Macaca fascicularis: one gene and its partners. The protein of the gene in region 2 purifies or fractionates together with the protein of the main gene of each other region. This does not show direct contact. Links are inferred from orthologs where the notes say so. Each region holds a gene or a part of one and is shown on either strand. Other genes may lie near its edges. The genes, in order: ORC5, LRWD1, ORC4 and ORC3.

Region 1 (7,391 bases), about 95 Mb from region 2:
TGGAAAAAAGCCACAGTGGTTACAGTGCAGATACTGAGGAAAGAAGGTGTATGTGCTAGATGGGGCTAGGCACAGGTAGGAGCCAGATCATTTGGGCCTTGTAAGTTATTGAAAAGATTCTGTTATTTATCTCAAGAGCTATGGGAAACTACTGAATTTTTTTAAGGAGCAGGGTGACATTAAATTTTTATAAAATCATTCTGGCTACAGCATGGATAATAAATTATAAGAGGATAAGAGCAGACAGAAGATCAATTAGACTGCTAGAGAAGAGATGATGGTGGCTTGATCTAGAGTGATAAAAGTATCATGATAACAAGTGAATGAAATTGAGACAAATAAGAGGGGCTTTGTAAGCTCAATAGGCCAAATGGTTGAATATTACGAGTGGGGGAGAGAGAGATGTCAAGAAAGACTCTCAAATTTCAGGCCTGGGCAACAGAACAGACTGCAGTGCTTATCACCGAAATAAGAAACACTGGAGGAAAGCCAGATATTTCACTTTTTGTTGGCGGGTTGAAGCAGAGGTTAGAATTCCTAAGTTCGGTTTTGGAAATGTATTACTATAGCTGGGAAACAACAATAAAGGTCAAGAATATTGTACACTTGATCTTAGCCAAAAGGCCGAGAAGCGATGGGTCAAGAATATTATAAAAAATAGATCTAGTCTTTAAAAATAGGGACATTATTAATACACAGATGACTGTCGAAGTCACAGGTGTGGCTCAAGTTGCCTAGGGAAAAAAATGTAATATGAGAAAAGAGCCTAGGGCCAAGCCTCAAGGAACAGCTATATTTAAAGGTCAGGTGGTAAAGATAACCTTTGTTAGTAAGAACAACCAAAGAATAAAGAGGAACACCAGAATACTGTGGAATCATGTCTAAGAGAAGAGAGTTTTAAGAAAGACACAGTAGCCAACAGTGTTAGGTGCCACTGAGAGGACAAACAGCCGAGACTAACAGAGGTTCTGGGATAGTGGAGGAGATGGAATTCAGAGCATAGGTAAAAGAATCCACCTTAGGAAGAAGAAACCCATCCTGCTGAAAAAGGAAAGTAAGAGAAGATGGACACCAACACAGGTAGCTCAATTCTCAATTGAGGGTTTCAACTTTGTTCTGTGAAACAGAGTGAAGACTGAACAGAATGAACGCAGACATTAGAATTTGTGGTTTAAACAGAGTCAAGAATTTAGGTGGAGGCTGGGCGCGGTGGCTCATGCCTGTAATCCCAGCACTTTGGGAAGCTGATACAGGCAGATCAACTTGAGGTCAGGAGTTCAAGACCAGCCTGGCCAACATGGTGAAACTCTGTCTCTGCTAAAAATTAGCCAGGAATGGTGGTGTGTGCCTGTGATCCCAGCCACATGGGAGGCTGAAGCAGGAGAACTGCTTGAACCTGGGAGGCAGAGGTTGCAGTGAGCCAAGATCGCACCACTGTACTCCAGCCTGGGTGACAGAGCCAGACACTCCATCTAAAAAAAAAAGAAAAGAAAAAAAAAATTCAGGTAGAAAAGAAGTCTGGATACCAGGTGCCCTATCATTTCAATACATGAAGTGGAATGGCTGGGGAGACAAAAATCAGTCTTAAGGAGAATAGGGAAATAGAGCCAGGTTGCATGGGTCTCAAGGAAGTCCACATTTTTATAAGAAGTTGGGGGCAGTAACAGTCTGGAAGTGGCAACAGGAAGGATGGCACTGAAATGACCTCCAACCCTGAGGGATTAGGGTTTGAGAAAATACATAGCTACAACTAGAGATAAGTCCAGGGGAAGCAGCATCCCAAAGAAGGAATCAGGTTTTAGCTAAGGCAATGAGGAAGACTATTAGAAGAATGGGGCACATGGGAGGGAGGGAAAGAATGAAAGGTAAAGTTAGCAAAAACGAAGTACAAAACATGGGGATGAGAGAATGGAAGAGGGCAGGTGTGGGGAGGAGCGGGTGCTCATTCTACGGATATTGCCCATGGGAAGTAGAGAACAGTAAAGAAAACAAAAGAAAGTTACAGAGTCCCGAAGTTCTATGCCAAGATTCCAGGTCTAAAGTTCTTGCTTGCAAGGTGGTAAATGAAAGTGCATGTCTCTGAAAGTGTTGAGCATCCATCACTGTGATGCTCTGCACTAAAGGAATGTCAAATTAAGTCTGATTCAATGGAGATTCACTATATTAGGAACCCACAAACTTCTGTTTTGCATATGATTATGTTGGGGCACAACCTAACATTCAGAGTAATAATAAAATCCCTGAAATAAACAGGCTTCCCTCCAAATTTATGCCTTGGATAGAGGCTCTTAGATACAGAAGTTCCAATATAATTGCTTTTTAAAAGGAAGTAATTGCTTTGTGATCATACTTAACACACTAAAAAATAAGTTTCTGCTCAATTTTCTGTGTAAAAGTTTGCCTGGTTTTATTAAAATGAAACATTAAAACCCTTGACTTCATGTTTTAGAGCCTATATGCCACAAAAATGTGGTAAATACCTGCATCATATTATCACAGAACTCAAAAACATTTTTTTGTAGACGGGGGTCTCACTACGTTGTGGCTCATCTTGAACTTCTGGCCTCAAGCAATCCTCCGACCTAAGCCTCCCAAACTGTTGGGAATACAGGTGTGAGCCACTGCATCTGGCCATTCATTCACTAATTTATTATTTATTTATTTTTCAGAGCACTTTTAATTCAGAAGAGGCTTCAGGGAGAAGCTGCCAACCTATGGACTTCAGAATCTCAAGAAGCTGTAAAATTAATCATCAGAGGAGATCTGCAAATCTATACTGATATCAAGCACTGTTTTAGGCTGGAAAAAATAATGTCTCATGCCTATATACTGTTAATTTTGAAATATATGTAAATACTTTTATGACTAATTTTTAAAGGATGCTAAAATGGAATCTTCATATTCAAAAAGATTAGGAACACACTGTCTATGGAATGCCCTGTTCAACCTGCCAGTCTACACACTCATCACCTCTTCCATTACAATCCTGACAGATTGTTATCCAGCTGCAACCGTATGATGAAGTCACTTATTCATATAAATGGTTTGAACATTTTCCATAACACTAAGTACACTTCTTTGTAAGGAAACTTGTATTTTTAGACAGCTTTCATTTTGACAAATATACTTTCTTCCCCAGAACTTCCAACACTCTAGAATTACTCAGAATTAGTTTCATCCATTTTGCACATGACAGACCCCTGAAATACTTAAGACAGTTCACATGTCCTTCCTAAGGCTTTTCTCTCACACTCTGTCCTTCAGTCAGGGATGTGACACAATTCCTCATTCTACCACTCTCCTCGTGCCCCTTCAGCATGTATCCATTTGTCTCTCTGAAAACTCTAAACACAGCACAGCACACCAGATTTGATCTGCCTGTGACAACACACAATAGAATGATTATGTCCCCTGACCTAGACACTATATTTCTATCAGTGTTACCTAAGTCAGGATTTTTAAAGCCTTGTAGTCAGCTAAAAAATTTAGGACTTAAGTCAGCTTTCTCCCATCTTATTTCAATACAATAGAGTTTTCTGTAGCCAACTGTCCATTAAATCTTACCTTGCTACTATGGGATCATTTATTCCAGCCTATTAAGGTCTTTCAGAATCTTGATTTTTGTCCTCTAACATATTAGCTATTTCTCCCAATTATATGTCATTTGTAAATTTGAGAAAGTTCATTCTATAGTAGCGGTTATTCATTCTTGGCACTTAAATACATGATTTTTTTCATGTTTAAAAGTCATGACTAATGACATTACATTAGGAAAACACTAATTTTTATATTTAGTATCTCATTTACATAATTCAAGACATTTTACCTTGCAATAGCTCTGATGAAGTCTAGAGACACTGTGCATTTATATTTTGGTCCATCAAGCTGATCGTCATGGCCAACCAGGGTTAACAGCTGAAGGGTCACTAGAGAGGTAATCTAAAAGAGAACATTTTTATAAGAAACTGTTTTAATAAGATTATGTAATACTTTTGTTTCTGAAACATCTTATAGTCTGATAAAGATACATAACTGAATCACAAAAAAGTCTGCAAAGAAAATGACTACTTTGCAATCTGTAAACACAAATTTGTACATGTCTACTAGTCTGACAACTAGGACTAGTTGTCAGAGTCCTCGTTTTTTTATTTTTTTTATTTTTTAGAGATATGGTCTCGCTCTGTTACCCAGGCTACAGTGCCATGGCTTGATCACAGTTCATTGGAGTTTCAAATTCCTGGGCTCAAGTGGTGCTCTCAACTCAGCCTTCCCAAGTGGCTGGGACTACAGGCACATGCCCACCACACCTAATTTTTTTATTGTTTTGTAGAGACAGGGTCTCACTGTGTTATCCTGGCTGGTCTTGAACTCCTGGCTTTGTGATTCTCCTGCCTTGGCCTCCCAAAGGGTCAGTGATACAGGAGGGGAAGGCAGGGAAGTGCTGGGTAGAGAAGGGCGTGGTCCCTGGCTAGTGCTCCACCCCCAAGTCTGTGCCCACAGACCTAGGTAAGGACTGGCATTTCAGTTTTCATGCCTAAATGTTACATTTTCCAAGACCACCCTGGCTGGACGTTAAGAGGAATACACTGGCGGAAGAACACACAAGCGGCTGGACAGCGAGAGGAACATACCAGCAGACACCTGCAGATGCCAGCAGGCCATCTATGGTGGGACGACACAGAGTTTGGCCAAGAACGGCTAGACTTCAGGGGAAAACCACCTTCCCACTCTATCCCCCTTCGGGCTCCCCATCCATCTGCTGAGAGCTACTTCCACTATTCAATAAAACCTCACACTCATTCTCCAAGCCCACATTTGATCTGATTTTTCGGTACACCAAGGCAAGAACTCGGGATACAGAAAGCCCTCTCTCTGTCCGATACGGCAGAGGGTCTAATTGAGCTAACACAAGCCACCTACAGATGGCAAAACTAAAAGAGCACACTGTAACACACACCCACTGGGGCTTCAGGAGCTGTAAGCATTCATCCCTAGATGCTGCTGTGGGGTGGGAGCTCCACAACTTGTCCGTGAGCATGCTCCCATTAGAGGTTTGAGCAGCAGGACACTGAAGAGGCGAGCCACTACCCCTGCGAGGGGGACGAGGGAACTTTTCCTGCTTCACTGGGATTCCTGGTGTGAGTCACTGCACTCAGCCCAACCAAGAGTCCTAGTTTAACAACTGATTCAAACAATCAGTCCTTAAGAATTCTACTAGAGACAGCTTTGTTTCATTAGTGACTCAGACACATGACTGCCAAACCTTTAAAAGCTGCAAATAAAGCACATTCCTTCTCTAAACATTTTACAGAATTTCTATCTAAATAACTCAGAATACAAAATCTATACTCCTTTGGGAATAAAACAATTATAATATGGATTTAGGCCCTTTTAAGAGTTGGGTAGCTGGCTAGATAAAAGATAAGAAATACATCCTTCAGAACTGGGCTTAGTCTTGGTTTAAAACTTTCTTTCTTTCTTTTTTTTTTTTTTTTTCTGAGGCAGGGTCTCACTCCATTATCCATTCTGGATTGCAGTGGCACAATCATGGCTCACTGCAGCCTCAACCTCCCCAGACTCAAGTGATCCTCCCACAGCAGGCTCCTGAGTAGCTGGTACTATAGGCACATGCCACCACACCCAGCTAATTTTTTGTACTTGTTGTAGACATGGGGTTTTGCCATGTTGCCCAGGCTGCTCTTGAGCTCCTGGGCTCAAGTGATGCACCTACCTAGCCTCTAAAGTGTTGAGATTACAGACGTGAGCCACCGCACCCAACCATTGCTTTAAAACTTACTGCTGATCATGTACTCAGGAAAACACCAGAAGGATTATTAGTAAAAGCAAAAGTGTATTTTGATAGGTCAAAATTAAAGTACAAAATCACTTAACATTCATAAGGCCAACTAAAATATTAAGTTCTTTGAAATCTAAGAAAGGAAGCTGATCCAAGAACTGAAATTCTTTGAGTGCCCATTGTCTTCTCCTAATTTCTTATTTTTATCTCCCATAGGCCAGCAGGAAAAAGAGCCAGCAATGGCAGTAAGATAACATTTGGAGACTTAGTTACCTGTAACTGTTCAGTGGCAATATGAAGAAGAGTTTTAGGTTACGCATACCTAATCATATGTCTTAGGAATTAAAATGTTCACTTAATTTGGGACTAATACTTTACAGATGCTAAGTAAACATCCTATGAATAATAAAAACACTAATAGCAGTAGTAATTTGCTTGGTACTAAGTACTCTATACACACTATCTCATGTTATTCCTCATTACCCTCATGTCCACAAGGTGGACATTATTATACTTTTTTTTTTTTTTAAATAGATGAGCTTTAGAGATCTTAAGTAACTTTCCCCCTATTCCAGATCTACTGGCTTAGCAAGAATTCAAGAATCCATGATCATCTTATTATACTACATTTCCCATTACCATTTTGAAGGGAAAATTGTCATGCAGTATTCAGTCTGCGATTACTTTACTAACAAATCAAAGGGTGAACAGATAATAAATATATAGAGTATCTTATGTAGAGAAAATCCTATATTCAGTAAATATGAAACATTATTTCAACTGGAAAAGCAATTTATATTAATACATCAAAATACAAAGCTCTGCATTCAAAAGGCTAAGACTTTAATTTCTAATTCAGTATCAATAATTAGGTTACAACTTGAAATATCTTTTATAAATATTCTGTGTGTGTGTTGAAAAGAATATGTATTTTGCAACTGTTACGTGCTTTGTTACATGTCTATTGCTTTGTTACATATATGTCTATTACATAAGACACATATGTAACAGACATTATTTGTATGGTTAAATCTTACATTTTTAAAATCTGCCTGATCAAAACTGACACAGGTATTAAAATTCTTCCGTTATCACAGAATCTTTTTCTGCTTTGTATTTTTTAAGCTACGTTACTAGGTAACGTACATACAGATTTAAAATTACGTTTTGTTGACAAACCTTTTCATTATAATAACTCTTTTTTTCTCCAGTAATGTCTTAGCTTACGATGTATTTTTTTCTAATCTTAATATAGCTATATTAGCATTCCTTTATGTGCTCTGCCTTTTTCTTATGTGACTTTTCATGATTCTACATTCAAGGTTCATGTTTTCTCAATTTAAAACAGTTCTCATGTAAATAACATATAGTGGGATTTTGTTTTTATAGTCACTCTGACAACTTTTACCTTTCGTTAGGACCATACATAGACTCCATTTGTTTTTTTTTTTGTTTTTTTGTTTTTTTAGACAGAGTCTTGCTCTGTCGCCCGGGCTGTAGTGCAGTGGCCGGATCTCAGCTCACTGCAAGCTCCGCCTCCTGGGTTTACGCCATTCTCCTGCCTCAGCCTCCTGAGTAGCTGGGACTACAGGCG
Region 2 (8,148 bases):
TTTACATGGATTATCTAGTTTCATCCCTAGGACAGCCCCAAGAGGAAGGTACCATAACTATCATGGGCAGGAGGTGTAGACATGCGGAGGTTCTGGCCAGAGTCACCCAGTGAGGACCTCGGAGGCCACCAGACCTCAGCCCTGGGCTCTGTGGCCCATCTCCTCTTCCTCTCCCATCTCCAGGCTCCTCACACCCTGGGCTGCCACTCACTGTGGGCCGCTGTCTTTCTCTGTTCTTCCCTCCAGGGACCTCAGCCCCTTCTAATGCTTTGCTTCCAGCTCAGACACCTCCTGAGATCGGCACTATCTCCTCCCGCTCCTGGGGCCCTCCCATGGGAAACATTAAAATTGGGTGTCCCCCGTGTGTCGACTGAGCAGGCTGGACTTGTCCCAAAGGCCATGGAGCGCTCTTGAAGGGTTTTAAAGGAGTGACGAGGTCAAATGTGAATTTTAGAACGATCTGGAGAGGGGGAGGGGCAGCTATGAAGGGGTGGAGGCTGGAAAGTCAGTGAGGAACTGCCCCAGTGCCCTGAGATCCTGGACACCTCATTTTCCTTGTTCCACATCCATCGTGTTGGGAAGGTGTTACCTTCACATGGCCACTGGCGCGGGTCAGACTTTCCGCAATTTCTTTTCTTTTCATTTCTTTTTTTTTTTGTTTGAGGCAGGGTCTTACTCTGCCACTCAGGCTGGAGTGTAGTGGCGCTCACAGCTCGCTGCAGCCTTGACCTCCTGGGCTCAGGCAATTCCCCCACCTCAGCCTTCCACGTAACTGGGACTACAAGCACACGCCACCGCACCTAGCTAATTTTTAAATTTTTTGTAGAGGCAAGGTCTTGCTATGTTGTCCAAGCTGGTCTCAAACTCCTGGACTCAGGCGATCCTCCTGCCTCAGCCTCCCAAAGGGCTGGGATTCTAGGCATGAGCCACCACACCTGGCCCCTTCCACAAATTAAAACTTTTTTTTTTTTTTTTTTTTTTTTGACGCGGAGTCTTGCTCTGTGCCCCAGGCTGGAGTGCAGTGGCGCGATCTCGGCTCACTGCAAGCTCCGCTCCCCCGGGTTCACGCCATTCTCCTGCCTCAGCCTCCCGAGTAGCTGGGACTACAGGCGCCCGCCACCTCGCCCGGCTAATTTTCTTGTATTTTTAGTAGAGACGGGGTTTCACCGTGTTAGCCAGGATGGTCTCGATCTCTTGACCTCATGATCCGCCCGTCTCGGCCTCCCAAAGTGCTGGGATTACAGGCTTGAGCCACCACGCCCGGCCCACAAATTAAAACTCTTAAGTTCATTCATATTGTTGCACAGCCGTTACCACCATTCAGAACTTTTTCATCTTGCAAAACTGAAACTCTTTCCCCATTAAACAACAGATCCCCATCTCCGCTTCCTGAGCCCCTGGCAACAACCCTTCTACTTTCTGTCCTTGTGACTACCCTACATAGCTCACACAACAGGAATCCTGCAGTACTTGTCTTCTGTGACTGCTTCCTTAACTTAGCCTCATGTCCTCAAGGTTCATCCATGCTGTAACATATGTCAAAATGTCCTTTTTTTTTTGAGACAGGGTCTCGCTATGTTGCCAGAGTGCAGCAGTGGCATGATCATAGCTCACTGCAGCCTTGACCTCCCAGACTCAAGCAACCCTCCCATCTCAGCCTCCTGGGTAGCTGGGACCACAGGTGCGTATCACCATGCATGGCTAATTCTGTGTAGAGGTGGGGTTTCACCATGTTGCCCATGCTGGTCTCAAATTCCTGGGCTCAGGCGATCCACCTGCCTCGGTCTCCCAAAGTGCTGGAATTAGAGGCGTGAGCCACTGTGCCTGGCCTGTCCTTCCTTTTTAAGGCTGAATAGTATTCCACTGTGTGTATACACCACGTTTTCTGCATCAGTTCATCTCTCTCTCTTTTTTTTTTTTTTTTAAGGAGTCTTGCCCTGTCACCCGAGCTGGAGTGCAGTGATGCGATCTCGGCTCACTGCAACCTCTGCCTCCTGGGTTCAAGTGATTCTCCTGCCTCAGCCTCCCGTGTAGCTGGGATTACAGATGTGCCTCACTAAGCCCGGCAAGTTTTTGTAACTTTAGTAGAGGCAGGGTTTCGCCATGTTAGCCAGGCAGGTCTTAAACTCCTGACCTCAGGTGATCTGCCCACCTCAGCCTCCCAAAGTGCTGGGATAACAGGCAAGAGCCACGACACCCGGCCCAACTCATTTCTTGATAGATACTTGGTTTGCTTCCATCTTTGGGCTGTCGTGAATAATGCTGCTATGAACATTGGTATGCAAATATCTCTTCCAGACCCTGCTTTTAGTTCCTTTGGATATATACCCAGAAGCAGGACTGCGGATCATGGGTAATTCTATGTTTAATTCATGAGGCATGCCATACGGATTCCACAGGACCTTGGGCACTTCTACTATGGATGATGGGGCAGTTTCTTCACTGGCTTCCCAGCCTCTACAACTTCATATCTGCCCCTTCCCTTCCCAGGATCTTTCTAAAATGCACATTTGACTTCACTCCTTTAAAACCCTTCAAGAGCTTTCCATGGCCTTTGGGACAAGTCCAGCCTGCTCAGCTGATGCGCAGGGAACCATCTGTGGTCAGACACCACCCGCCCCCCGCTGCCCCCACCAACCTCTCCGGCCTCATCTCTCTCACCTGAGCCATCACCACTCCACCTTCCTACCCCACGCAGTTTTCTGGGCTGGAATGCCCTTGCAACCAACCACAATCCTTCCATGCCAGCCCAAAGGCGCTGAGTTCTTTTTCTTTTTTTATTTATTTTCTTTTCATGAGGCAGGGTCTCGCTCTGTCGCCCAGGCTGAAGTGAGGTGGCTCAATCATAGCTCACTGCAGCCTCCAACTCCTGGGTTGCAGCGATCCTTGAGTTCCTCTTCATTAGTTAACTGGAATTCACTGTCTCCTTGCCCATTGCAGTCCACGGCCTTCAGGCACCGCTGGACTGGTATTCAGCACCCTCGATCGACCCTTTCCGTGTCATCTCCTCGCGGGCCTGTGAAGCTCCCAGCGCCAGACCCGAGAGGCTACGTCGAGGTTTGCAGGCAGATCCCCCCAGAGTCCCCGAGGTTACCTGTGATCGCACCCACCCACATTCCAGCCCCTTCCCCACTCCCAAGCCCGCTCCTTAAAGCCCTCATCTCCTCAGCCCGCATCGCTCCTACCGCAAGGGTCCCTCACAGGCTTTGATCCCGGCCCGTATCATGGCCAAGCTGGGCCTCAGTTTCCCCAGATGCAGAGCGACGTCTGTGGACGAGGCCCCTACCCCTTACCGCTGGGGGCAGTTCCCAGGGCGGGTCGCCGCCACGCTGCCGCTCGCAGATCAGACAGGTCCGGATGCCCTTACAACCACATTCCCGAAGGACCTCGGGGGTCTCGGCGGCGGCAGCCGCCATCGCGCCGTCCGGGTGGCCAGTGCGCAGGCGCGGCCGTGAGTGGCCGCTGGGAGTTGTAGTCCGCGCGAGGCGGGGGCACGAGGCCTAGGTTCCGCTTCCTTCCGGTCGTTAACGCCCACGGGCTCGCGCGGCGCCACCTCCTGGGCTCCGTTACCGCGGACGCCAGTACCGGGCTCCAGGAGACGCAGGGGGACGCCAGACGCCGGGGCCGCCGACTGGGTCGGCGCGGGCCGCGCCTCCTCGCCATGGGCCCCCTCTCGGCGCGGCTGCTGATGCAGCGCGGGCGCCCCAAGAGCGACCGGCTGGGGAAGATCCGGAGCCTAGAGTAAGAGGCGGGCAGGGGGCGAGGCTGTGTCCGCGGGGCCGGGGGTCGGAGGGAAGAGCGGGGACCCTCCCCAACGGCCTGCCTGTCCCCGTTATCGCCCTCTGGGTTCGGCAGAGTCGCTCCAAATGTCTTCTTGTTGGGAGATCGTGGCCCTACCCGTTCGCCGCGAGTCCCGAGGGGCCTCATCCCCTGAAGGGAGCCCGGAGAGTTAGGGGCACAGCGTGCAGCTACCATTAGAGGGCCTGGGAAGCACACAGGAGCCCCCGAAGGATCAGGAAGAGCATCCTAGAGGGGGCTAGGATGCCCCTCAGTCCTAAAGTAGTTGCAGTTTTTTTTTTTTTTTTTAAGTGGTGGGGAGTCGGGAGTAGTGGCGCGCGCTTCTAGTCCCACCTACTCGAGAGGCTGAGGCGGGAGGATCCCTCAGCCCAGGAGATGGAGGCAGCAGTGAGCTGTGATCACGCCTAGGCGACTGAGTGACGCCCCGTCTCTAAAAATAAAGTAACGAGGGGGTGGGGCGGGGCGGCTGCACTTGTGAGAGAAATGTCAGGTGAAAAAGCCTTCTGAGATAGCTGGGGCAGATTGGTGTGGGGTGCAAAGCCTGCCCGCCCCCTAAGCCTTCTGCCCCCAACTCCAGCCTGTCAGGGTTGGAGCTGCTCTCCGAGCACTTGGACCCCAAGCTCCTGTGCCGCCTGACGCAGCTGCAGGAGCTGGACCTATCTAACAACCAGCTGGAGACGCTGCCGGACAACCTGGGCCTGTCCCACCTGCGTGTCCTCCGCTGCGCCAACAACCAGCTGGGGGATGTCACTGCCTTGTGCCAGTTCCCCAAGCTCGAGGAACTCAGCCTGGAGGGGAACCCCTTCCTGACGGTAAGTGGGGGCCTCCCACCAGCCTCATACTGGGGGCCAGGACTCTATTGGGCTCAGGCTCAGCATCTCCTGAGCCACTGCCGTTCACCCCCTCTTCCCCAGGTCAATGACAACCTGAAAGTCTCCTTTCTCCTGCCCACACTCCGTAAGGTCAATGGCAAGGATGCGTCCTCAACTTACTCTCAGGTGGAGAACCTGAATCGGGAGCTGACCAGCAGGGTAAGGGGATGAGAGGATTATTGTGTGCTTGGGAGCTATAGGCGGCATTAGGAAAGTGATGGAATTGGACATCAGGAGGATGCGAGGAGGGTGACTGATAGGGGCTCTTTGCCCTAACAGCCCCTAGCCTGATGTGCTTTTTTTTTTTGGAGATGGAGTCTCACTGCATCACCCAGACTGGAGTGCAGTGGTGCGATCTTGGTTCACTGCAACCTCTGCCTCCCAGGTTCAAGTGATTTTCCTGCCTCAGCCTCCCAAGTAACTAGGATTACAAACACCTGCCACCACGTCCAGCTAATTTTTTGTATTTTTAGTAGAGACAGGGTTTCACCATGTTGGCCAGGCTGGTCTCAAACTCCTGACCTTAGGTGATCTGCCCGCCTTGGCCTCCCAAAGTGCTGGGATTACCGGTGTGAGTCCCCGCACCCGGCCTGACTCTTATAAGTAGCTCTTTCTGGGTTTTTACTTTCCTTTTTTTTTTTTTTGTTTTTAGAGACAGGGTCTCACTCTGCTGCCCATGTTGAAGTGCAGTGGTGTGATAATAGCTCACTGCAGCATCCAACTCCTGGGCTCAAGCAATCTTCCTGCCTTAGCCTCCGCAATAGCTGGGGCTTTAGGCACATGTCTGGATCATTTTAAAATTTTTTGTAGAGGTGGGATCTTGCCATATACCCCAGGCTCCAACTCCTGGCCTCAAGCGATGCTTCTTCCTCAGCCTCCCAGTGGCTGGGACTACAGGTCCCTGGGCTGTTTCGGGGTGGGGTGGGGGTGGGGTGTGTGTGTGTGTGTCTGTGTGTGTGGTTTATGAGGCTGTGATTCCAGGAGGCTTCCAGCAGGTGGCAGGATGGAGGGCTGGGTCCGGAGGAGCTGGGGTGGGCCGGGCCTGGATCTGCTCCCTCTTGCACCAGGTCACAGCTCACTGGGAGAAGTTCATGGCCACACTGGGCCCTGAAGAGGAGGCTGAGAAGGCCCAGGCAGACTTTGTGAAGTCAGCTGTCAGGGATGTCCGCTACGGGCCTGAGTCCCTCAGCGAGTTCACCCAGTGGCGGGTACGTCCCTGTCCCGATGTGCAGGGAATCACTGGCTCTCGTATCCCTAGTTGCCTGGAGGTCCCTGGGTGTGAAGGGCTGAGGGGCTGTGGGAGTGGGGTGAGTCAGGGTGGGTAGCCCTGTTGACTGGAGAGGCCCTTCCCCAACTCTGGAAGCACAGGCTCCCCCTGACTATGCGTTGGCAGGGCTGGGGGCGCCTGGGACTGTGCCCAGCTTCCTGATGGCCTGGCCCCACCCAGGTGCGGATGATCTCTGAGGAGCTGGTGGCCTCCAGTAGGACCCAGGTGCACGAGGCTGACAGCCCAGAGAAGCCCCCAGAAGCTGGAGCTGCCCACAAGCCCAGGGTGAGTGCAGCTCCTAGGGCTCTGAGGCTGGCCCAGCCCCTCCTGCCTGGAGAAGCTGCAGGAGACCAAGGTGACCTGGGCATGGGCCCAGGAAGCACCCCAGGCCCTGACTCGCTCCCTAGACGACCCTGGGCCAGCCTGGGCCTCCTACACCCACAGTGAGGTGGGGTCCAGCCTGTGATGGGCAGGAAGGAAGCCCCTGGCAGATGGGCCCATGGTCACAAGGCCCCCTCCACAGGCCAGACTGGCGGCCTTGAAACGGCCAGACGATGTCCCACTCAACCTCTCTCCCAGCAAGCGGGCGTGTGCCTCCCCGTCGGCCCAGGTGGAGGGTGGCCCTGTGGCAGGCTCCGATGGCAGCCAGGTGAGCTGAGGTGGCAAGGAGCAGGTGGCAGATGAGTTGGGGCTGGGCAGCCGTGACCTTCCTCTCCCCACACAGCCTGCCCTGAAGCTGGAGCCCCTGCACTTCCTGCAGTGCCACAGCAAGAACAACAGCCCTCAGGACCTCGAGACCCAGCTGTGGGCCTGTGCCTTCGAGCCAGCCTGGGAGGAGGGTACATGGTGGCGGGCAGGCGGGGCAAGGGCTGCTGGAAATGGGGCCGCCTGGATGGGTGGGGGATCAGGAGACAGAGCTTAAAAGGCACCATCAAGTCTGGGAGGAGGAGGCTGCAGGGAGGACTTGGATGGGAAGTGTCTCTGCTCATCTGACCTCTCAAAACCGGGCACTCAGGGGCCACATCCCAGACCGTGGCCACGTGCGGCGGGGAGGCCGTGTGTGTGATTGACTGCCAGACAGGCATCGTGCTCCACAAGTACAAGGCGCCCGGCGAGGTGAGTGCAGGGCAGGGGTGCCCAACTGACTCCTGCATAGCAGCATGGGGATGGGTGCAGGCTTGGCCCCCTGCCCAGTGGCCTTTTTCTTTCATGCTGGGGCTCCCTCCCCCAGGCCCGGACCTGCCCGGGTGTTCACACCAATAGCTCTGCCCCAGTGACTGTTTCCTCTAACCCCCGCCCAGGAGTTCTTTTCTGTGGCCTGGACCGCCCTGATGGTGGTCACACAGGCCGGCCACAAGAAGCGCTGGAGTGTGCTGGCAGCCGCAGGCCTGCGGGGCCTGGTCCGGCTACTGCACGTGCGTGCCGGCTTCTGCTGCGGGGTCATTCGGGCCCACAAGAAGGCCATCGCCACCCTGTGCTTCAGCCCTGCACATGAGACCCACCTCTTCAGTAAGCCCCTCCCCTTCACCCCTGGGACCCCCAAGCACCCCTGTCCTGCTGCCCCAGTGGCCTCCGCGCTCTCCTCCCTGGGATGGCTGGGAGCTCAGGTGCCTGCCGGGCCCCAGGCTGCACTGCTCCCACTCTAGCTTTGGCAGGAAGCCATGGCACTTCAACCCTGGCTTTATCCACAGCCTGCTCTGTGGCCTTGGAGTTTCCCAACAGTTTGGGCCACTCTGTCCCCTGTCAGTGACCTGGGGGGATGCTCCTGCCCCCAGGTGTGGTGCCCCCTGGCAAGGGAGATGGATGAGCTACAGGAGATGGCTGCTGGAGCCACCGCATCAGGTTACAGCGAGGAGACAGGGATTGTAGGCCCAGGAGTGTTCTGTCTCCTAGCCTCGGCCCTCCCTCCCTGCCTCGGTGACCGCGGGCTCAGCCTCATATGCAGCCAGCAGGAGGGAGCAAGGCCACCTCAGGGCCACCTCTCCCCTGCCCCACTCCCTCCTCAGCGGCCTCCTATGACAAGCGGATCATCCTCTGGGACATTGGGATGCCCAACCAGGACTACGAATTCCAGGCCAGGTGATGCTTCGGGTGAGGCTGGGGAGTGGCCAGCTGCTGGGGCAGGGACACCTTGGTCCAGGGCTGACGCTCTGCTCCCTCTCACCCACCGGCAGCCAGCTGCTCACACTGGACACCACCTCCATCCCTCTG
Region 3 (7,644 bases), on a different chromosome or scaffold from region 2:
TCCAAAAAATAATAATAATAATAATCTAAACACAGACCTTACACCTTTCACAAAAATTAACTCAAAATGAATCACAGACCTAGATATAAAATGCACAACTATAAAGCTTGTAGAAGATACATAGGAAAAAATCTAGATGACCTTCGGTTTGGTGATGAAGCTTCAGACATAACACCAAAATCGTAACTCATGATAGAAAAAACTGACAAATTAGATTACTAAGATCAAAGACTTCAGTTGGGCACAGTGGCTCCTGTCTGTAATCCCAGCACTTTGGAAAGCTGAGGCAGGATTGCTTGAGCTCAGGAGTTCAGGACCAGCCTGGGAAACATAGGGAGAGCTTGTCTCTAAACAAAATTAAAAAACACATCAGGTGTGATGGTGCATGCTTGTAGCCCCAGGTACTCAGGAGGCTGAGATGGTACCCAAGAGGCCGAGGCTACAGTGAGCTGTGATCATGCCACTGCACTATCTTCTAAGTAAATAAGTAAAACAAATAAATAAAAACTACTCTACCAAACATACTGTTAAAAGTATGTTTGACATAGCAAATAGTATGTTTTGTATGTATACATAGCAAAATAGTATGTTTGACAAGCAATAGTATGCTTGACTTTGACATAGCAATAGTATGAAAGACATAGCAAGATCCTGTCTCAAAAATAAAAATAAAATCTTCTGCTCTGCCAAAGACAATGTTAATATTAATAGTATGAAAAGAAAAGCCACAAACTGTAAGAAAATACTTGCAAAACAAAACTGAAAATCAGAAATATAAAGGACTCTTAAAACCTATCAATAAGAAAACAACCCAAATTAAAAATGGACATAAGACACCTCACCAAACATATACAGATGAAAAAGAAGTGTATGAAAAGATGCTCAACAGCATGTCATTTAGAGAATTACAAGTACAATGAGACACCAATCTACACCTATTAGAATGGTTAAAAAGTTTCTTAAATTTAAAAATTTGAAATTTAAAAACATTTCACATAGTTCTCTTGTGAAAACCACCCAAAATAATAGTGAATTCAAATGCAAAGAAAAACCATAATAAAAAACTCAAGAATAAAGAAATAGTGATTTATAGAAGCTGAGTATGAGGACTAAAACAAATTAAACATAGATTTGAAACCTAAAACTTACTGTAAATATGATTATAAATGTGAAAATTTGTGAACTATTAAAAGAAATTACCTAGATCTAAATTCTCAATTTACATACTTTAAACAATACTTGAGATGAGTGATAACAGTAAAATCCTAACATATTCATCATAATAAATTTCAATATATATTGCTTAAAATGTTAAAAAAATTTTACTTATCCATTTTTTAAAGTACATTAGTAAAAAATTTAAATTTATTGTATATAATACATGAGAACAGATTTTACACAGACTACTTAGCATTGAAATTAATTACTTTCAAAAGTTAACACCCATAATTTGTCTCCTATATTGCATAAAGGATATGAAAGAAAAGAGCAAGGGGAAATAAGTAAGAATATCTTTTTGAGGTAACTAAGGAAATACAATAAAGAGGAAAAGGAGACAAGAATGATATAAGATGTGAACATGCATCTTATGTAAAACTACGTAAATTAGGGTTAAACAATAAATAGTAATAATGTAGGAAAAATAAAAAGAATGCATGATATGATAGTTCTCTAACCTATAACAAAGGGAAAAACCCTACCTTGCAGCATTGATGTAAAGAATAAGTGAGAGAACATAATAAAAAGACACATAGTACATGCTCAATAAATGCTATTTTCTTTTTCCACTGGAAATCTCTACTTCTTCAAGGACAAAAGACCATGTTGGAACAAACATCAAGTGACAATTTGTCACTAGGAGGACAAATAAGGGGAAAAAAGGTCTGCTACACTCAAATATACCACCCTAACTTTATAAAGTTTTACATATCTTCTATGATTAAAAAAAGTAAAATGTTACAAAATAATGAAATGAAAAATATTTTCAGTATTATATAAAATAAGAATCATCATACGCCAACAAACACCAGAAATGAACAGCTTTTACCATAGTTTTTCCTGATCCTCGGGGTCCGATAATGAGGACAGAGTTACTCTCTCCATGGAGAGCGGTCCTTTTTAGCAGCTCACTTATGTGTCTAAAATGATATAAATAGGACAAAATTTTAAAAATGAAGCTGGAATACTTTGTTAGGTTGTAGTTTTTTAAAAGGCATATTTGAATATGCATAGAAATTTCCTCTCTTCTCTCCCTCTGGGCACTTGGCCTAGCCTCTGAATGGTCCTAAACAGAAAAATACAAAAGAAATAGGAGGGTAGTATAGACTCTGAAATCTTCAGGTGAAAATGTATCAGATTGGAATATATTGATTTGTATGATCGTGGGGACAACAGTGGCAACTCTCAGGACTCTTGGATTCAAATCTCTTTTCCTACTAATACTCTGAAATTTCACTCCATAGTTGGCTGCTGGGTATTAAGGGCAAGATGGTTAGAATTCTCTCCACAGTATTAGATAACATAAACAAAACAAGATTGAATGTTAAAGTGCTATTGCATTATGGAAATATTTGTATCTGCTTCTGCTTCACGCTATGTGGTGTTTCTATTCACAAAGCAAAATTTTTTACTTCTATAAAAGTGTTTGTTAGGTTTATTTAATATCAAACTTGTTACATAATTTTTGCAAGACCTGGAAGGCATCTGTAAGTTGGTCCGTAACAGTCAAAAGGACAGCTAGACTTACTTGTATTGTACTTGCACTCCAAATAGGTTACTATGTGGACTCTGATGACAAAATCTTTCACGTAAAATTCTTTGTACCTGATGAAAATAAAGTGAATAAATATAAAAATATTACACATGCATGGTGCGAAAAAAAAAAAATATTACACATGCAATAAAAAATGAGTAAGAAAGCACATTTACAATAGCCAGAATTAGTTATTAATGAATCAATTCAACCCTCCCTAAATTCTTATCCTCTAGAGTTATGGCACCATAAGTTAAAAAATTAATGGTGTTCTTATCTATCTCAAGTCCCACAGGAAGAATGAGAATTTAGTTGTGAAGGTTTCAAAAAAGGGAGAATCACTGACTTTAGTTATGTTAGCAACTCAAGGGCTGTTTCAATGCATGTGAATGAGTTCAGAAAAAAATTCTTATAAGGAGCTGTATTTTGAGTTCACCTTAGAAAAAGGGCCTTAGACTTAGTCATGAAAAATTATGTCAGATAATCTACCATACTCTTTAAAAAGATGGACCATTAAAGTCATTCCTTTTTGGATCTGCAGCTAATACAGAGGTCTTTCAAGGACAACCTTAGGGTGCTATCTCAGATTTGGCCCCATGAACTGGAATAAAAAACCTCCAAAAATATTTGCTTCTCCTAGACTGATGGCATGGAACTAATCCTTCATGTATCAAAGAAATAAATCTGAGTTCTTGTTCCATGTACAGAGGCTAAGCAAAGAAAATGATTCACTAGGGACAAAATGATACATACTTGTTCATTATAGAGGAAGTTAAAGAGTAAGGACACTGGTACCAGAAGAGGCTACTATATGAATTTTAAAAGGTTAAGTCTGTTCTAAATTTTAATTTCTTTATCTATAAAATAGGGACAATAACACCTTGTTGCAGGCCTGTTTTAAAGATTAAAAAAGTGGGGTGGCCGCGGTGGCTCACATCTGTAAATCCCAACACTTTGGGAGGTCGAGATGGGTGGATCGCTTGAGGTTAGGAGTTCAAGACCAGCCTGGCCAACATGGTTGAAATACCTTCTCTACTAAATATTCAAAAATTAGCCAGACGTGGCAGATGCCTGTAATACCAGCTACTTGGGAGGCTGAGGCAGGAGAATTGCTTGAACTCAGGAGGCGGAGGTTGCAGTAAGCTGAGATTGTACCACTGCACTCCAGCTAGGGCAACAGAGCAAGACTTGGTCTCAAAAAAAAAAAAAAAAAAAAAAAAAAAATTTAAAAAGGCAAAAGGCAATTATCTGTAACACAAATAGGCTTTGTACAGGTAATAGCTAATATCTATAAAAATACATAAAAGAACATATATATGTACTCAACTAGTGTATTCCTCTACCTAGATGAGATCAAAAGAAAAAACTCAATCCCTTCCTTAAAAACAAAACAAAACAAAACAAAAAACCAAAACTTCATTAAAATCTCTTAGAGGCAGTAATGGGGTGTAAAACATAAGCTAGATAAAGCTGCAGTGACTAGTTAGAAGGTTCACAAATCCCAAAGTGATCTGGCATGGAAGTTAAACAGGTATATACATGTATTGAAATTAATTCAGCTGTACATGGAGGATTCGTGCACTTTACATACAAAGGTACGTAAAGCATATTTCAGTTAAATTTTTTTTTTTTTAGAAATAGAGTTAAACAACTTCCTTCAAAAAGAAAGCCAAGTCTTATGAAGGAATACCAGTAACATTTAATTTTTATTTAAAAACTACATGTAGTTCAGGTCAAGCTAGATACATACAAACGTAGAAATACCATGCTCATTTCCCTACTAGACTATAAGCTTCTTAAGGAAGAGATATACAGATAGATGTTCAGCACTTGGAATACAGTATGCACGTCTGATAACATTCATTATAAAAACACTCGATAGACGAGGAACATTAACGGAACTTCCTCAACTTAATAAAGGGCATCTAAAAAAAAATCCTACAGCTAACATCATATATAATAGTGAAAGACTGAATGCTGTCTCTCTAAGATGAAAACAAAGACAAGAATGTCCATTATTTCCATTCCTATTCAGCATTTGTTCAAGCCAGGGCAATTAAGCAAGAAAAGGGGAGAAAAAAAAGGTATCTAGATTAGAAAGAAAAAGGAAAAGCTAGAATTCTGACTACCCGGACTTAATAAGGATAAAATTAAATTATAGTATAAAACACTAATATTAAAAAAATATATGAACTGACAAAAAGGATAGAGAACAATCATAACAACAAGAAAATCTGTTGGTCCACATTTAATTTTTACAGAGTCTGGAAAATTTTGCTTCCAGATGATTGTTCTTACGACCTTGTACTGATATCTCAAGGTCTTGTACTGACATCTCCTTAAGGTTAGAAAGAGTGATTCTTCTTATACGCTAAAGTGAAAATTCAAGTTAAGAAGATAACTATTTCTCTCAACACTTTTATAGGGTAAAAGGTCTTGAGATTAATGAAAATACATACTAACCTGTGAAAGGCACTCTGCGTGAATTAAGCTGTTACTCTTTGATTTACGACTGCTCATTTCAACAAATTCAAATCCTTAAAAAAATTGGCATAAATATTATAAACATAGTGACTTGAAGAGATAATACCTAAGAATATACTGTTCTAGAATTAAATACAAGTTTTTAAAAGTAAAAAATGCTCAAACCCTAAGACCTTCAAAATCTTCGATGGCTTCATTTTGTCCAAGTACAGGATTATTCAACACTCTCATACCATACTTTAGGTACACTTGGTTTTATTGTGCTTTGCAGACAGTGCATTTTTTTAAGTAAACTGAAGGTTTAGAACAACTCTGTGTCCAACAAGTCGATAGGTACCATTTTTCAAACACCATGTCCCCATTTTGTGTCTGTCAGCATTTTTCAGCAATAAGGTATTTTAAAATTAAGGTATGTACATTTTTTAGACATAATACTACTGCACACTTAATGGACTAGTATACTGTAAATATACATTTTATATGTACTGAGAAAAGTTTTGGGTGATTTACTTTATTGTGATATTTGCTTCACCGCAATGGTCTGGAACTGAACCTGTAATAATACCTCCAGGCCTGTATGTGGTTCTTAACAGCTACTCCTCCGTTTCCATTAAATCTTCTATTCACCTTCCCTTTCTTCCTTTTTCTTTAACTTATATGCTTCCTTTATGATTCTCCCACCCATCCATCCCACAGGATCATCCCTCATAGAAAACCTTCCTTTCTTGCTCCACTCACCAACCATACACAAATAATCATTACAGACTAGGTTAAATGCCTCTTCTTTAATTACTTATAAGTGCTTGTATTTCTCTTTATTATTTAATTATTTTGAACAAAATTATCTGTTTATTTGCTAGTGTTTCCAAATTGAGATTTTTTTATATTCCAAGCATTGTAGCATAATGCTCAAAACAAAGTTGGCAATGAATAAATGGAATGAAAAAAAATTAATGAAAAATGTATAATTCTTGTAAAATTCTCCTCAAGTTACCATACTCATAGACAAATACCTTTGACTAAAAGACCTAATTTTCTTAGCACTGATTTCCTATAGGACTACTTTAACAGTTAGACAGTAACAGCTTAAGCAGTGTTTACTTAGGTATCAGGAATTGTTACAAATAATTTGCATTTATCAACTCATTTAATCCTCAAAACTACCCTATGGGATAACTACTATTATAATCCTCTTTCAAGGTTAGAAGACACAGATAGGCTAACTATGTTGACCAAAATCAAACAGTATGTAAATGGAAGAGCCAGGATTTGGATCCAACCAAGTTAACAGCTTTTTTAAAAAACTGTATTCTGGTCTCATCTAGTCTCCAGAAGGAACACAGCTTTGCTGACACCCTGAATTTTGCCCAGTGAAAGACATTTTGGAACTTTTTTACTGCCAGAACTCATAAAACTCAAGAAAAGCTGACCTATCATCAAATCACCAATGATTAACATTATAATAATGTGAGAATGACGGCAGCAAGATGAAATAGGAGGCCCTTCAGCTTGTGTTCCCAAATAGCAACAATAATTTCACAGCCACCCACGGACAAAAGTGTCTTTGTGTTAGCCTTGAGATGCAGGCAGGCGTCTGTGAAACCCCAGTGGGGCCCAAGACCTGGGAAAGTCAATTTGAGGGCAGATCTTCATTCCCCAACTGTGGTCCAGGCTTCAGACTTGGAAAGGGCCCTGTCCTCCTGAGGGCTTAGCTAAAGCCTGATAGGACCTTGTTACCAGGGGCTGTAGCAGGATATGAAACCTATCTGGTGGTGGACTGGACTTTTTCTAGGACATTGGTCTGTACAGGGGATGAAGATATGCAGAGAAAAGACCTGTTACCAGGTGTGTGGATGGTGTGGCTTTCTCTGGGAACCTGGGAGGGCTCCTACTGGATCACTGAGTGGATAACCTGAGCAGGCACTACTGCCATAGTCCCCAGCTGCGTAGGGCTGGAACTAAGTCACAGGGTTGCTTCAGGGCCTACAGTCAAGACTTAGGTCTTCAGGCCTGTCTAAGGTGTCATGAACCTGCATGCCTCCCTTCAGGTCCTTAGGTTGGTGGGCCTGCTCTCAAGCTGTACTGAGAGGGGCTGGAGCTACTTTTAAGGGGTGTTTCAGGGACTGATGAGGGACCTGGGTCAGGTGGCCTGTTGGCAGGGCTATGGACAGCCCCATCTCCCTCCAGGATGCTGGGTAGGCAGAACCGCTTTCTGACCATAGCTGAGTGGGGCTTATGCCAAGATTCAGGGTTGTTTCAGGACCTGCTGTGGGACTGAAATCTGCCTGCCTGTCCTGAGGACATGGAAGGGTGTATCTCCTGACTACAGGAGAATTTCTGTGCAGGATTTCTGTAAGACTGTGGCTAAGATGTGCTGGATTCCCAATTCAGAGCTTTTTCAGCATATG
Region 4 (7,644 bases), on a different chromosome or scaffold from region 2:
AGGAATTGTGCAAAATATCTTCCCTGACAAATATAATGCATGCCTTTGGATAGCTATTGTTAATGGATATCTCATTTATATAGTATATTTTCTTGGTTTCTGTCATTAATCATTTTTTTAAATGTTTTTACTTGTGAGTGCTTGATATGTTCAATAGCTTTTGTCATTAAATTATTATTAATAAAAATGGTGATATAATATTGATGTATTATCTCATAGGTGTGAATGTCACAGATCATGATTTAACATTCAGAAGTCTAACAGAGGCCCTTCAGAATAATGTCACACCATATGTAGTCTCATTGCAAGCTAAAGATTGTCCAGGTAAAATATAAATGCCATAATAACCTTGGTGAGATGCTACAGACTTGTTTCATCCTTTTCTCTCTTTTTCAGGCTTTCTTTATTCCTTTTTATTGGTGGAAAGAGCACAGTGCTATGTTTTGGGCAGGGTTAGGCTTGGGGCCTCTCAGAGTAATTGTGACTATTATAGAACTCTGCCTCCTTTTGCTGTCTTTATTCTGGACTCATTTCTGCCCTATCAGCTTAACTGCCGGTAGCAGTCCAGGCATTTTGCGAGATGCGTTCTTTAACCCAGTGAAACGTTTAATAAGTAGAAAGACTTAGGGCGGAAAGCTGAGAATTGGGGAATGAGGAGCTCTTGTTCATCTCAAAAGAGAGTAGACATGTGGGCTCATGTTTCAGCCATAAATCATCTTACTGTCCCGCTTTGAAAAGCCACCATGGTAAAAAATAGTCCATTGACAGAGCTAATCCTGAGCATGTGAACCCATGAAATCATAAAGAGTGTTCACACTCCTTTTTTTTTTTTTTTTTTGGAGACAGGGTGTCACTGTGTTGCCTAGGCTGTACTACAGTAGCATGATCATAGCTCAGTGCAGCCCTGAACTCCTGGCCTCAAGCAATTCTCCCACCTCAGCTTCCCTGGTACCTAGGACTACAGGTGCATGCCATTATGCTCAGCTACATTGTGGGGTTGTTGTTTATAGAGATTGGGTCTTGCTATGTTGTCCAGACTGGTCTGGAACTCCTGGGCTCAAGCAGTCCTGCCTCGGCTTCCCACAGTGCTGGGATTACATCTTGAGTCACCATGCCTGGCCATAATGTAGTAAAATTTGTTTGGATTTAGATTGATAAAAGAGATTTATGTGCTTATATTGCTTTCATATTTATAAACTGATTGAAATTAAGTAAAAGTCCTTAAGGGCATCTTTAAAAATGGCTATATGAAAGATTTATAATCAGTAAAATAATTCATATGACACTTGATTTTTCTTAGGGACCTTGAAAACTTTATTTTTCTGTGTTATTTAAATACATATTCCTAAAATTTATAGTTTGCTTGTCTACACATTTGTTTATGTGACCTTTTTATTATAGATAATATACATAAGTGGCCAGGAGTGGTGGTTCATGCCTGTAATCCCAGCACTTTGGGAGGCCGAGGCAGGCAGATCATGAGGTGAGGAGTTCGAGATCAGCCTGGCCAACATGGTGAAACCCTGTCTCTACTAAAAAATACAAAAATTAGCTGGGCATGGTGGCATGTGCCTGTAATCTCAGCTAGTGGGGAGGCTTGAGGCAGGAGAATCGCTTGAACCTGGGAGGTGGAGGTTGCAGTGAACCGAGATCCCGCCACTGTACTCCAGCCTAGGCGACAGAGTGAGACTACATCTCAAAAAAAAAAAAAAAAAAATTATAATATGCATAAGCTTTGGTCTAGTCTTAGTCTGAATTAATGCAGGTACTAATGAGCATCAATAGTTAATGTTAAATGTTATATTAGCTATATTGATGGTAAGTATAAAAAAACACATTCTACCAAAAAAGAGTAATATACTGATCAAGAAGTTTCAAGAGCTTTGGTTTTATTTATGGAAGAGGCAGAGATAAGCTTTCTTACTTTTTATATTCCACAGATATGAAACATTTTTTGCAAAAGTTGGTCTCACAGTTGATGGACTGCTGTGTAGATATAAAATCCAAAGAGGAGGAAAGTGTTCAGGTCACCCAAAGAAAAACACATTATTCAATGGATTCACTTTCCAGTTGGTATATGACTGTCACACAGGTAGATATAAACTGACGATTTTCTCCCCCAAGGAAACTGACATATGATTGATGTGGCTTGGAATAATATTAGACATAGTCCTGTTTTGATCTAACAAGGATATGCTTCTGCAGCACTAGGTATTAATTTAAAAGTAGCTATTTTTCTAATGCTACTCAAATTTTAAAATCTTTTTTACTAGTATGTAGCCTAATTCCTGGTAAGTGCTTAGGTTTTTACAAGGACATATTTGTGGGAGAATGTCCTCTAATGACAAAAACAGAGCATCAGGAATTGCCTCTGTTGCAGGTTCCATCTCTGTGACAATAACTATAACTTTAATATATTATCTCTTGGGTTCCTCAGTGTTTGCTTTATCCGATAGAACCATGCTGCTAGTATCCACTGTCAACTTAGTTCAATGAAGAGTAATCATGGATTTTCTAAAATCTAATTTGTTTTATGTTTAGAGTTCTTAGGGAATCAGCGCTCTTTAAGTAAAGTATGTTCAACAAACAGATAAATAAAAAGAAGTTCCATTCTACCATGACAGTCTGGTGAAAAAGAATAACCTAGGTTAACACTAGGTAACTGCGTCCTAAAACCATAGTCTTAGGTTATGGTGCTATGTACCCAGACAGTATAGGAAAAAAAAATACTGTGGTTACATTTTCCAATCAACATTTTTGCTGAAATCATCATAAGTGAAGTTTCATTTTGCCTTATATAGGGACTCAACTATGTCTAATACTTAACCAGAATACCTTATTTGCTCCACAATTTTGGACTTTCCAGAAATCAAATGCTACTTTCAGTTTGTGTCAGATATCTTTTTAAAAATTGAGATTGGACCAGATGATACCTAGTATCCATTTCAGGCTTGAAATTTCACGGTGGCAAAGTAGCAAGTACTACTATTCATTATGTTTTTTTCATTAAAAATACTAGTTCTCACTGTAAAGCAAAGCAGAATATAACTTTCTACCAATCGAAAAATCAATTTTGTAGAAAATTTTCTCTTCTTCCATGTTTTTTTCTGTCATTTCCTTAGCAGAAAATATAAATATTTCATATGAATTATAGAGTTTTACTGAACCTTTTTCTTCTTGGTTATTATTCCCATGTCAGACACAGAAAGATTCTAGTAACCTGAGTTTCTATTTATCATGTGGTAGGAAAAAAAACAGTGTTACTGTGAAATTTAAAGAGAGATATGTCAACATGTGGCATTATAACATTGTTTGGGTGGTAAGGCTTACCTTTAACTCTTTCTTTCTGCAATGGTTTAAAAGAAGACAGACCCAAAAATGCCAAGCAAAAAGAGGACTACTTCTAGTCAATGGCTGTCTCCTCCTGTTGTGGTTATCTTGAAGGATATGGAAAGCTTTGCTACAAAAGTACTACAAGACTTCATAATCATCAGCAGGTAGATGGTATATCGCCTGCTTTTATGAAAAATTCCCTTTTTAAGAAAATATTACTTTTAACTTGAAAAGTATAATCTTCATTTTAATACCAACTAGATAAAAATCAAAGTATTCAAATTCTTTATAATTGAATATTCAAAGACCTCCTATCAGATTTTCCATTTGCTTTTTGAGCCAAGAATGAGAATCAAAGGCACATTTAGCCAGTTTTAAAAAGACATGGTAAGACAGTGTTAAATATGGTTTATCTCACCAAGATTGACTGTCTGTTACTCACCCATTAAGTAGGTAAACTAGTCCAGTTGAGGTTTTTGTTTTTGTTTTTTTCTTTTTTTTGAGATGGAGTTTCGCTCTGTCACCCAGGCTGGAGTGCAGTGGTACGATCTCGGCTCACTGCAGCCTCCACCTCCTGGGTTCAAGTGATTCTCCTGCCTCAGCCTTCTGAGTAGCTGGGATTACAGGTACCCACCACCACACCTGGCTAATTTTTGTATTTTTAGTAGAAACAGACTTTCACCATGTTGGCGAGGCTGGTCTCGTACTCCTGACCTCAGGTGATCTGCCTGCCTCAGCCTCCCAAAGTGCTGGGATTACAGGAGTGAGCCACCGTGCCTGGCCAAGTTGCGAGGTTTATTAGGTCTTATTTTCTGATACCCATCCATCCTTAGATGCTGTGAGTTACATACAGTTTTACTAAGCAAAAGTGTCTTCTAAATAACATGATCTTACATTTATGTAATATTTCTAGTGAGAAACTATTTTCATGATTGCATTGCATCTTCAAAACAATCATGTGAGACTCAGAATTGAAATTGAACCCTAATTTTAAAATCCAGTGACACGCATTTTCTGTGGTGTATTTTTTAGGGTGGAATTTATTTTGGCCTCTTCTATATGTCAACTTGCTTTAATAGTTATAGCTACATTTGACTAAAGCTATATATTTTGTTGAATAATTTACTAGTATACTTTATTTTATTTTTATTTTATTTTGGAGACGGAGTCTCACTCTATCCCCCAGGCTGGAGGGCAGTGGCGGGTTCTCGACTCCCTGCCACCTCTGCCTCCCGGGTTCAAGCAATTCTCATGCTTCAGCCTCCTGAGTAGCTGGGATTACAGGTGCCCGCTGCCCTGCCTAGCTAATTTTTGTATTTTTAGTAGAGACAGCGTTTCACCATGTTAGCCAGGCTGGTCTCAAACTCCTGACCTCAGGTGATCCACCTTCTTTGGCCTCCCAAAGTGCTAGGATTACAGACATGAGCCACCACACCCGGCTAATTTACTAATGTACTTTAAATTCCTACTTTGATAGGATCTTTTTTCCCTCATTGATTCTAAGAGTTCTAGATCCTAGGAGTTCCTTTTTTTTTTTTTTTTTTTTGAGATGGTCTGGCTCTGTCACCCAGGCTAGAGTGCAGTGACATGATGTCAGCTCAGTGCAACCTCCACCTCCTGGACTCATACAGTCCTCCCTTCTTAGCTCCCCAAGTAGCTAGGACTACAGGCACATGCCGCCATGCCCGGCTAATTTTTGTATTTTTTGTAGAGATGGGGTTTTGCCGTGTTGCCCAGGCTGGTCTCAAACTCCTGGCCTCAAGAGATCTGCCTGCCTCAGTCTCCCAAAATGCTGGGATTACAGGCATGAACCATCGCACCCAGCCCAGATCCTAGGACTTTTCTTAATGCTAACACTGAACTGCTTAGCATGCTGGGAAAGTACACAGTACAAAATAGTGACAGAAAAGCTCTGCTTTTTTGGAGCTTAGACTTAATGACTACCTTAGCCATCAAAAGTGAGGAAGACTATAGATAGAGCTCAGACTTTGAATGAGAGATTAAATTGAATGGTATCTAACACCTCTTCTAACACTTAAGATTGTATAATCTTCAGCCCAGGCACCGTGGCTCACGCCTGTAATCCCAGTGCTTTGGGAGGCAGAAGTGGGTGGATCACATGAGGTCAGGAGTTTGAGACCAGCCTGACCAATATGGTGAAACCCCATCTCCACTAAAATTAAAAAATTAGCCAGGCATGGTGGCACGCGCCTGTAGTCCCAGCTACTCGGGTGGCTGAGGCCGGAGAATTGCTTGAACCCAGGAGGCGGAGGTTGTAGTGAGCCGAGATTGCACCACTGCACTCCAGTCTGGGTGACAGAGCGGGACTCCATCTCAAAAAAAAAAAAAGAAAAAAGATTGTATAATCTTCGGGAAAACTTTCTGGACCACTCTGTTCTTATTTATAAAATGAGAGGATTTATTAAGAGATTGAATTCAGAGCTAGACTGTCTGGAAAGTAATTATTTTTCTGTTTAAAAGAAGAAAGTGAAAGACTTAGAAAATTTTAGTGTTTGCAGTGATAATCCTTAATAGTGTCTTATAAAGTAAGCATTAAAATAAAGTTTGTCTTATCTTGAAATATGATGTATTGAAATACATTTGCTAAATAAATTTCACTTTCGTGTCTTTCTTTCAAAACTAGTCATCATCTCCATGAATTTCCACTAATACTCATTTTTGGAATTGCCACATCTCCTATTATCATCCACCGATTGCTTCCTCATGCAGTATCATCTCTATTGTGCATAGAACTGTTCCAATCTTTGTCTTGTAAGGAGCACCTGACTACGGTACTCGATAAGGTAAAAAGAATAAGTTTTACCAGTGAAATAGGATGAAAAGAAAACTGCCAATAATAGCTTGTTAAGATAACTCTTAATGATAAGCCCCTACAACTCTGAGTACTATATTGAACATATTCTTTCACATACTTTAATATTTTTACTTAATAATTTTTGTAGTGTTTTATAGTTTTACAGTGATTTTGTATATTACCTCTTTTGTACTTATCTTTTTATCTTTACTCAGTAAAAAATTATAGGTTTATAATGTAAATTTTTACAGAATTTGTAGACTTCCTAGTAACAATATATTTTGATTCTTACATTTTAGTTTTTCTAATTTTTATTTTTTTGAGAAGGCACCTAGCTCTGTCACCTAGGCTGGAGTGTGGTGGTGCGAGCTTGGCTCACTGCAACCTCCGCCTCCCAGGTTCAAGTGATTCTCCTGCCTCAGCATCCTGAGTAGCTGGGACAACATGTGGTGCGCCACCACGCCTGGCTAATTTGTATTTTTAGTAGACACAGGGTACCATATTGGCCAGGCTGGTCTGGAACTCCTGACCTCAAGTGATCTACCCACCTTGGCCTCCCAAAGTGCTGGGATTACAGGCATGAGCCACCACACCCAGCCTGACTCTTACATTTTGTATAAAATGATTTGAAATTTTTAATGGACTGTTTCCTAACTGATTTGTCATGCTGCTCATGACAACAAATAAATACAAACATTTTCCTAGACCTTAGCAACTAAAGTTAATTAACTGTGTTTCTACATAAATGCAAGTATGATTCTTTAATATTGACTGTATTAGTCTGTTCTCACGCTGCTGATAAAGATACACCTGAGACTGGGCAATTTACAAAAGAAAGAGGTTTAATGGACTCATAGTTCCACTTGGCTGGGGAGACCTCACAATCATGGTGGAAGGCAAGGAGGAGCAAGTCACATCGTACATGGATGGCAGCAGGCAAAGAGAGAGAGCTTGTGCAGGGGAACTCCTCTTTATAAAACCATCAGATTTTGTAAGACTTATTCACTGTCATGAGAATGGCATGGAAAGGACTTTTCCCCATGATTCAGTTACCTCCCACCAGGTCCCTCCCACAGCACTTGGGAATTCAAGATGAGATTTGGTTGTGGACACAGCCAAACCATATCATTGACCTTCCCCAAATTTCTTCTGGACTCACCTCCTTTAAGATGTGCTTTATGCTGCTTATTTAAGGTAAACTAATAACAGCCTGCCCACTAGCCACTTATACATGGATTTTGTTTTTTTGGTTTTTTCCATAAAGGTGATCTATAGACACTTTAAGGAGAATTTTTTTCAAACTACAATTTTTAAATTTGCTTGGCTAGGCTGGAAAGGGTGGCAAGCACCTATAATCCCTGCTACTTGGTAGGCTGAGGTGCGAGGATCACTTGAGCCTAGAAGTTCAAGGTTACAGTGAGCTATGATGCCACCACTGCACTCCAGCCTGGGCAAAAGAGCAAGACCTTTCCTCTACAAAAAAAAAAAAAAAAAAA

The links.
Region 1: the proteins of LRWD1 (region 2) and ORC5 purify together in Homo sapiens (affinity purification with mass spectrometry; 4 studies listed by BioGRID and IntAct, with this or other methods). This does not show direct contact. The link is inferred for Macaca fascicularis from reciprocal best matches to the Homo sapiens genes LRWD1 and ORC5.
Region 3: the proteins of LRWD1 (region 2) and ORC4 purify together in Homo sapiens (affinity purification with mass spectrometry; 3 studies listed by BioGRID and IntAct, with this or other methods). This does not show direct contact. The link is inferred for Macaca fascicularis from reciprocal best matches to the Homo sapiens genes LRWD1 and ORC4.
Region 4: the proteins of LRWD1 (region 2) and ORC3 purify together in Homo sapiens (affinity purification with mass spectrometry; 4 studies listed by BioGRID and IntAct, with this or other methods). This does not show direct contact. The link is inferred for Macaca fascicularis from reciprocal best matches to the Homo sapiens genes LRWD1 and ORC3.

The regions. Positions count from the first base shown.
Region 1 is NC_088377.1:145,659,184-145,666,574, forward strand, and holds part of ORC5 (origin recognition complex subunit 5), read right to left. Parts: intron 3,940-7,391; coding exon 3,827-3,939; intron 1,473-3,826; coding exon 1,325-1,472; 3' UTR 1-1,324. UniProt on the Homo sapiens protein: Component of the origin recognition complex (ORC) that binds origins of replication. DNA-binding is ATP-dependent. The specific DNA sequences that define origins of replication have not been identified yet.
Region 2 is NC_088377.1:51,095,700-51,103,847, forward strand, and holds the start of LRWD1 (leucine-rich repeat and WD repeat-containing protein 1), read left to right. Parts: upstream 1-3,519; 5' UTR 3,520-3,661; coding exon 3,662-3,741; intron 3,742-4,089; exon of another isoform or gene 4,090-4,239; intron 4,240-4,375; coding exon 4,376-4,610; intron 4,611-4,712; coding exon 4,713-4,829; intron 4,830-5,737; coding exon 5,738-5,878; intron 5,879-6,117; coding exon 6,118-6,222; intron 6,223-6,460; coding exon 6,461-6,586; intron 6,587-6,661; coding exon 6,662-6,776; intron 6,777-6,952; coding exon 6,953-7,053; intron 7,054-7,238; coding exon 7,239-7,446; intron 7,447-7,712; exon of another isoform or gene 7,713-7,943; coding exon 7,944-8,016; intron 8,017-8,111; coding exon 8,112-8,148. Other genes in the region: ALKBH4 (alpha-ketoglutarate-dependent dioxygenase alkB homolog 4), read right to left, coding at 3,294-3,416. UniProt on the Homo sapiens protein: Required for G1/S transition. Recruits and stabilizes the origin recognition complex (ORC) onto chromatin during G1 to establish pre-replication complex (preRC) and to heterochromatic sites in post-replicated cells.
Region 3 is NC_088386.1:43,518,432-43,526,075, forward strand, and holds part of ORC4 (origin recognition complex subunit 4), read right to left. Parts: intron 5,290-7,644; coding exon 5,216-5,289; intron 2,824-5,215; coding exon 2,747-2,823; intron 2,139-2,746; coding exon 2,048-2,138; intron 1-2,047. UniProt on the Homo sapiens protein: Component of the origin recognition complex (ORC) that binds origins of replication. DNA-binding is ATP-dependent. The specific DNA sequences that define origins of replication have not been identified yet.
Region 4 is NC_088378.1:87,718,374-87,726,017, reverse strand, and holds part of ORC3 (origin recognition complex subunit 3), read left to right. Parts: intron 1-219; coding exon 220-324; intron 325-1,940; coding exon 1,941-2,092; intron 2,093-3,363; coding exon 3,364-3,497; intron 3,498-5,977; coding exon 5,978-6,137; intron 6,138-7,644. UniProt on the Homo sapiens protein: Component of the origin recognition complex (ORC) that binds origins of replication. DNA-binding is ATP-dependent. The specific DNA sequences that define origins of replication have not been identified yet.